Linked DNA regions of Drosophila melanogaster. The protein of the gene in region 1 interacts with the protein of each later gene in a pairwise test. Each region holds a gene or a part of one and is shown in the gene's direction. Other genes may lie near its edges.

What was found.
Region 2: the proteins of cv-c (region 1) and CG8701 interact in a two-hybrid assay, tested with the Drosophila melanogaster proteins (one large-scale study listed by BioGRID).

What each region holds. Positions count from the first base shown.
Region 1 is NT_033777.3:14,478,679-14,483,473, reverse strand, and holds the start of cv-c (crossveinless c), read left to right. Parts: upstream 1-1,760; 5' UTR 1,761-1,894; exon of another isoform or gene 1,895-2,561; 5' UTR 2,562-2,832; intron 2,833-4,795.
Region 2 is NT_033778.4:8,369,234-8,372,645, forward strand, and holds CG8701 (uncharacterized protein), read left to right. Parts: upstream 1-1,839; 5' UTR 1,840-2,018; coding exon 2,019-2,759; 3' UTR 2,760-2,909; downstream 2,910-3,412. Other genes in the region: CG2127 (uncharacterized protein), read right to left, coding at 1-687.

The sequences.
Region 1 (4,795 bases):
CGTGGCATCTTTTTGTTTCTCAATATTTTTGCTTTTGATGTGTTTACCTTTCGTTGGAAATCAAGGGGGCCAGACGCTATCGATCAAGCATGCAGCACATCACACGGCATGGAGTTTCTGAATTGGAATCTGGAGTTCATGAAGGGACTGGGATTCATTCGGAGATTGGGGAGCTCCTCACACGCTCGCTTAGATTTCAACACAATGGGCAGTTTCGATTTCAAAGCCGGCAAGAGAACCCGAGCACGTAGATCGGGTCGGGAATGGTTATGGGTAAATGGGTATATCTCTCTGCGACGTTGATGCGCACCTTCGATAAGGATGAGACCGACCGGCGAACACACCTCAAAACGTTATGAAATGCGGAGGGAACGAGAAGAGAAAACGCAAGAGAAAAGCCAATAGAATGGAAAAATAAGGAGATGGCACAAAAACAGGAAAGAGTTGACACGGCTAATCCTGACGAATTGTTGTTAGCTGTCTTGGTTCATTCAACAATTTGGTCGGAACAAGAGTTCGTTCTCCTCCATAAGAATGATTTATAATTTCACGTGCTTTATTCTTGGACCTTACAAACGTCTTCGGTTTTAATATTTATTAACTAAGCACCACCAATTAGCTGCAACTAATTAACTGCCAGTTAGAGGTGTTTATATGATTTTTTTCCTCTTATCTTATACTCCTACAAATTATTAATGGTATTCAAAAGGCTCATTATGCCATTAACTTTATGGTTTTCAAACTGTGGTCATATCTGTATTTTTAACTAAATTACAGACTTGAAGGATTTTAAATTAAAAGTTTAGCTATCTAATTAGATAATTATTCATTTACACAAATCGTAGAACTCTGCTAACCGGTTATTGAGTATTTTATTGCACTTGAAACGTAAGTTGCTTTAAATCATGATTATATTATGATTAGTAATATATAATTTGTTCTTCTGACTAGGAACATTAGTTTTGTTTTAGTAGGTTACAAAAGTAAAGTGATTAAATAGTCCACAGCTCACTTGTGAGTTTTTCATTATCATTATATACAGTTAGTTTGTCTCGCTTTCGTTTTGGTTCACACAATTTTATGGGTGAAAAAGTGTTAAGCCAATGCAGGCGCTAATCAAATTGAGACAACGAAAGTGTTAAGTCGACTTCCAGGAATCGGGCTATTAAATGAGCGTTGGGCCATAAATCTGCAGATAAGACAATGCCCCACTGATAAGAACTAAGGGAGATGCCAGTCGATAAAGCCTGAAAGAGGCTGCACAAAGATGAGGCCCGGGTCATAAAATCAGAAACCCAAACACACTAAATAAGCCATAGAGAAGACTAACATGGGATTTTATCACCGCTTGTTAGTGTAAATTTACAAACACATTCGAATGGGTGTGTAAGAGCTACAAATACATCCATATGCTTGGAGTTTTTCCAACTGTTTTTACTTTCAATAAACAATTCTAGGGGATTTCCTCTCGAACTGCAACATGCTTGAGGTCGTTTGAGATCGCTCCGATCGGCTCGAATTGAGCTGTTGGCGCAGTTTGAGCGCAACATGTTGCTCTCTTCATAATTCTTGCTGTTAGCTCGCTCTGTTAACCGGTAATCGCGGGTCTCGCGCATGTTAACTCCATGTGAACAGCAAGCGAACGTTTTGAGTTCCCATAGAAATAGCGTCTGTTAACCGCTAAAACGCTGTATCTTAACATTTCCATTGAAAACAAAGCGGGTAAGCAGGGTGATCCAACCACGAGTTTGTTGGATACAACAGTTGGGTTTCCACCTCGACCGGGAAAAGTCGGGCAAATTTAAAGCGCTCCTCTGTTATTCAAATTTTTTAAAAACATACTGAATCCAAAAAACCGTTGTTTATTGGCAGTTCTCAGGTTTTTACGAAAAAGGTGAACATTGAATTTAGGATCCGAAAAAACGTGCGGGTCAAGAGATGTAAATATATTGCAAAATACTGCATCAAGTGTTAATAATCATTTTCAGAAACATAAGCTAAAAAACTGTGAGTGCGTGACATCGTGTGTTTTGGATACGTTTTATGAATGAGCGCGGGTGTGAACGAATTTTTCGGAGTCAACAACAAATAACGAACGCGATAAACAGAGGCACACTCACACAACCGCGATTAAAAAGGCACTCTCCATTAAACAATAAAGAAATCTCTTGTTTTTCGAAAAGCAAATAGAAAATACGAAAATGTAGCGCGGAAATTGCAGTGCCAAAGAAAACAAACGCATCGTTTGTTGGGCTTGAATTTCGCACGGTTTTAACACTTCCCATAATAAAAAATAAACATCTTTCGAAACCAGAAAAGTAAAAATAAAAACTGCGTGCAGAAAAATATATAAAATTAAATAGTGCATAAAAATCGGTTTTCTTTGCGGTTCGGTTCCGTTTTTGTTTATTTGTAGTGTGCGTGTGTTTCTGTTTCCCCCTTTCTATCTCTATCCCTGTCTCTTTCTCTGCCTCACCGCCCGTCTCTTTCTCTCTTTCGAGTAAGAGAACGCGTGCTTTTGTTTTCGATTACGTTTACTACATTTTTTGTACGCCCCATAGAAAAAAACATGACGAAATGTTGTTGTTGAAAACGAGAAATAAATACAAGTGATTCAGAAAAATAAAAAAATAAACGAAACAACGAAAATAAAAGAGAAATTACACATCTGATTTATACGAAAAGAAAAGTTCTGTGAAGCAATATACGAAAGTAAAATTCTATTTGGTGTTTATAGAATCTCCGATGGTGTTGTGAAATCAAAGAAATAAAGAAAACCCAAAGCTACAGATACTCTCTTCGCGAGCAGCAACCGCAAACGCATCTAAAAAGGTAAATAGAGCTTCGGGACCCCATGTCGCTTATCTTCGGGGTAGGATAAACAATCCATCCAGCTTATCTGCAGGTCCATAAAGATCTGCAGATCTCGAGAAATCCAGACGTCGCTTGTTTATGGGTGGCTTCGGGGCTTCCTAGAACGAAACGTCAGAGTTTTAGATACATCTTGTGATTGTCGCCGGGTTTGCCACTTACTTTCACTCCCCAAAATTTACCTGAGTTTCTCGGTTTTCTAGTCTTTGACTTTGTGGTACAACTTTATCTTGTCAGCTGCGAACTGAAAAAGATAGTGATAACCTAAATAGTATATGTTTACAGTTAGTTAGTCGCTGGCATAATCTACGCGACGCGTTCGAGTTATCTGCGATCGTTTTTATTGGCCTTATACGAGTTCTGATCGGCTTTCTTTACCATTTCCGCTGCTGTTTGAATTGTCAGCGCTTTATTTTGATTCATAAATCATAATCGCTATGTATTGTAGTTTGTTTACACTCTGGTCGAGTGCTGCTTTTTCCCTCCAGCGTTTGTTTTTAATTCATGGGAATAATCACCGAAAAGTGCACAAACAATCCGAATCCGATTTGCATACTTATTGAGAACTCAGCCAAATGGCAGGCGTAGCATTTCCGGTTCTAAAATGCGTCATCGGAGTATGTCGATCGTTTTAACCCCCGAGAAACTGAAACTGGCGACCCGTTTTGTCTACCATAACAACAACTCTTGATACGGCCCGCCCTTTATTATTTTACAGCATAGCCACCTTATATATAGAAACTCGTTTTTCGTTGTTTCTGCCTTTGTTGTTTATACTCCACATACGTACCGATAAGTATGTAAATAAGTTCACAGCGAAACACTTGTGCTGGGTGCTTGATAAAATAGCAAATTTCAGGTAAATAAAACTGAAACAATATTTCGACTGGCCTGGCGTTCTTCATCTTCTGGTTGGGAAAGACCCAAAAAAATTGATAATTCAATGTTTATAAGTTACATGCAGTTAGGATTTTTAATATTATTTCATTTATTTAGATATGAAATTCAAAACATAAACAAAATAAACAAGACATCTCCCATCCTAAAACATCTTCCGTAAAAAACTCGCTTCTGATTTTTAATTAAACAAAACCATGTTACACCCAATCCAGCAGCTTAGAAGCAAATCTCTGCCCAGATTTTCCCTGATTTAGTAAAATCGCTTTCCCCTTGTTCGGCAGCTCGCAAACATTTATCAGGCGGGGCAGGTTCATCAATTTCGTGTGTGATAAATGTCGTACAAGAATTTACACAAATATGTATGCATGTCTCTATGTCTCTGCTCCAGCTGCCGGGTACAAGCTGAGTTGACAAAATGATTTGTTTGGGCGCCCCATGTTTTGTCTTATTGTCGCCAACCCCTCACCAGAGCATCTTCATGATCACCGATCGCTGAGCGCCACCCTGAACTTAAGGCCAGAATCTCGAATCTCGATGCAGATCTCATCTACGGACTGGAGTAACGAAACAGCCACTAATTCCAAACAATGTAAGGCATTATTTATTTTTAACTGAGGTCATCAGCGTAGACATCGTCTATTACAAAAAACGCCCGCCTCTCTCTAGAATTTTTCATCTCATCGTGCTGGGAGCTCCGGTTCTCCGGTTCTACGATTCCCCAGTTCTCAGTGCTCCATTCTCTGTTCTCAGTTTTCCGATCGCTACACAGAAACACAATATGATCGGTTTTAAATCTGATATTATGATTAAATTCAAGCATAAGGAGGAAAATTTTGAAATCTTATAAGATCTATCTGCTCTTTTAAGTAAAAATTTCTTAATTACATAAAGACATGAATAATATTTTACTGAGCACTTCTTTTTTGTGTTATTATTATTATTGTATTAAAACATCGATTTTTTATGTGTACGGTTTTGAGTTCTATAGTGTTGTTCTTATTTCAAACTTAATGTGCTCGGTGCT
Region 2 (3,412 bases), on another chromosome or scaffold:
GCAGCAGGGAAGAGTCCAGCGCGGACAGGGTGAGGAGTCCTCTGCCTTCTTGCACTCCATGGGATTAAGCATGGGCATCGTGGGACGGGCTGTGGCCACCACCGTCTTCCGCTGACGGCGGCAGGGCTTCGGACGCGGTCGCTTTGCGTGGATGCACACCTTCTTGGGCTTGATCACCAACCGGGGGCACTCGTTCCACGTCACCTGGTACTGGCGGGCCTCTTTGTCCGATATGCGGTAGTGCTGGATGTCGTACCGCACTGGCACATCGCACTTTGGCACGTACTCGCAGTCGGGTATATACCACATGGACCTCATCTTTGCTGGCAGCTTCGGCTTGTTGGACTTTTCCTTCTTGGGCTCTTCCTTCTTCTTGCGCTTACCGCCCTTGACTGCATCGCAAATGGTGCCCTTGAACCGAGCAGGACCACAGCCCTTGGAGGTCGATACCTGATCGCAATCCTTTGGCCGCCCGCAATCATCGGCGGAAGACTGACTGCTGTAGTTGCGGCGTAACAGGTGCTGCCGGAGCACACTGGAGCCAACGCAGTCGGCCGGGGTTTTGATTTGGCTCAGATTCTTGGACCAATCGACCTTGAATAGAGAACAGGCATTTACCAAAGACTCCAGGCACGGCATGCTCCGATCTACGAGGGAACGACATTTCTGACGCAACATTCGCAACATATTGAACCTTTTTACCAAATTTTGTTTTACAAAGCCGAAAATAGTCGAAAATATGTTATGTTAGGCCAAGGACTGAGTGTAGACTAACTAAAACCCGACATCCTCAGCTCGGAGTGGGCATTCACAGCATACTTTATAGGAAATTTGGAATACAAATTCTAAAAGACCTCTAGATATATCTAAGCTACACCTGTTGTACCAGTTGCAGTGCCTTTTTTTTCCCCACTTTTGTGAGGGTTCCTCTTCCTCATCTCAATTTGCTTTTCAGGGAAACGAGTATATAACTTAAGATATACATATTTTAAATATCTTAGAGAATTTATAGTAAAATCTATGAAGTTTTGCAAACTTGTGGGAATGGTATTATCGTACCCGCTACTAGTAGAGTATACTAAATACGATGAAACGTAAGTAAATGGCAGAAGGATGCATTTCCGACTCTATATACATGTTCATTCCCAATCAGGCCATGTCGGGCACTTAAAAAGGTATGCAGGTTGGATTGACCAACCAGACTCTAAAGACGTTAGCGCAGCACAAAATGGTTTTGGTAGAATTTGCCGCAGAACCTGTCTCCAAATACTTTTCGCGACCTAAGTGCTGAAGAAAATTTTATTATACTTTTTATTTTATTTTATATTATATTATTATATTTAGAGTAAATGGGTATACTAGATTCGTTTAAAAATGTATGTAACAATCAGATGGAAGCGTTTCCGGCCCCATAAAGTAATATATATACTTTAATCAGACTCAATAGCCGAGTCGGTCTGGCCATGTCCGTCTGTCCATATGAACGTCTCGATCTCAGGAACTATAAAAGCTATAAGGTTTAGCATACAGATTCTAGAGACATTGACGCAGCGGAAGTTGACCCATGTTGCTGAGTAATGGCTCTTGTTTTTATTTGGATTTCAGTTTATTTTTGACCAATTGTAAATCTATTTCGTCACAATTTTCGTACTAGCAGAATAAGTGGTATGTGATTTACGGAGAAAACGACTGTAGGGTTTTTTTTCTTTTATGTATAAATATGGAGTACTCTGCGCTAACAGAGTATTTCCTCTTTCTATATAATAATATTCTGAAAAGGATGCCTTGAAATTTACTTCGATGCGATGTAGCCATGTCGAATAACTTTGTATGCCAGTTCCTCTCGGCCTCTTCCAAAATTCACATCGGCTCCGTTGAGCTGATTGTGTATTCGGTTACAAATTTGTAGTTTGGTCATTTTTCGGTGCCGAGGGATTTTCATTTTTGTTTCGGGATTGTTGTATTTAGCGATACCTTTCTTTCCCCCCCGAGAAATTTATATCAGCCCGTATCCAGCCATGTCTATGTGGCGCAGTATTGGAACGAAAACCCAAAATCGAGTAATACCCAGCTTTGCGAGCGTGGTCTGCCATCGCGCTTTCGCAAAGGACCACAATCCATCTCCAAAGTGCAGTGACAGTTCTGGAAAGGGTTGCGGTAATTTTACCGCTTGTGGAGACCCCCGGTTCGCGAAGAAACCACCGCCGAAGAAGGAGGACGGCTTCCAGTTCCATCATCTGGTGAAGCAGCCGCCGGAGTGCTGCACCGATCCCTGCGCGGAACGGTTCCCCCCGTACGACCAATGCTACTACAAGATCTCTGACAAGGCCACGCGCAAGTACCAGGTCACCTGGGTGGAGTGTCCGCCCATAAAGATAAAGCCCAAGAAGATCTGCTGCTACGAGGCGGGAATTCGTCCGCCGATCCCAAGGCGCAAGCGCAAGAAGTTCGTGACATCCGCCGAGTGTCCCACGAATGTCGAATGCCCCACGGAGGGAGGACCCTGCCCTAGAATCAAGATGCCCGGCTGTAAGGCCGTAGACAGCGTCTCTTGCCACGTCGTTAGACGTAAGACCGACTGCGTCAAAGTCAAGGCCCCCTATCCTTCCTTCTCCGAGTGCAGCCGCTCTCGTCTTCGCAAGCCTCGGGGCGTTGAATGCAACTGCCTAGATGTTCCAAGCTCCTGTGACCTGATTCGTGAGCTGAAGAAGTTCGAAGGAAATCCACGGAAGCCAAACTGCGGGGGCAGTAGGGCTTAATTCCATAGTGCTGTTTGAATCCTAATCCCAGCGCTCAGTATCTTGTTCCGTTGACCTAAATATTCCAAACCGATCCAGTTAAAGTAACTTTTCTACCGTGCGTAAAATTCAGACTAGAAATAAACCGAACTATGATTTTTAAATTTATTTAATTAGATAGCATTGATCTTTCATTCAATAAAATATTTATAACAATCTCCTAGGGGAAGGATTAAATGCACACATGGCTACTATGGAGTCTGGTTGCATAAGATTGTTATGCGCATTTGGTTTACTCGCCGCTCGAAAATAGTTTTTGTGTTATATATTTTGGTTTTGAAAACCTGGACCGTTGCTACTTAGCCATGTAAATCGAAAACATTTGCCCGACTCTGGATGAGTATGCAAAGTGTCTCGAAGAGGGGATGCGGAGATGGCGTACAACTGCGTGCCATATTAAAGTCGCTTATAGCAAATTACCAATTCAGATATATACGAGTACACACAAATCAGTTATACCCGGCATCCATCAGCATATTCCCCTGGCTGTTGCTTTTTGGACGTCCCTCTCCCTTTTCGTATTTCCTTTAACTTTGAATGCATGCAGGCCGTCACATTTATTCGAGTTCGAGTTTGATGTACGAGCCGAAATGCATGTGCATAATCAAAAGGGG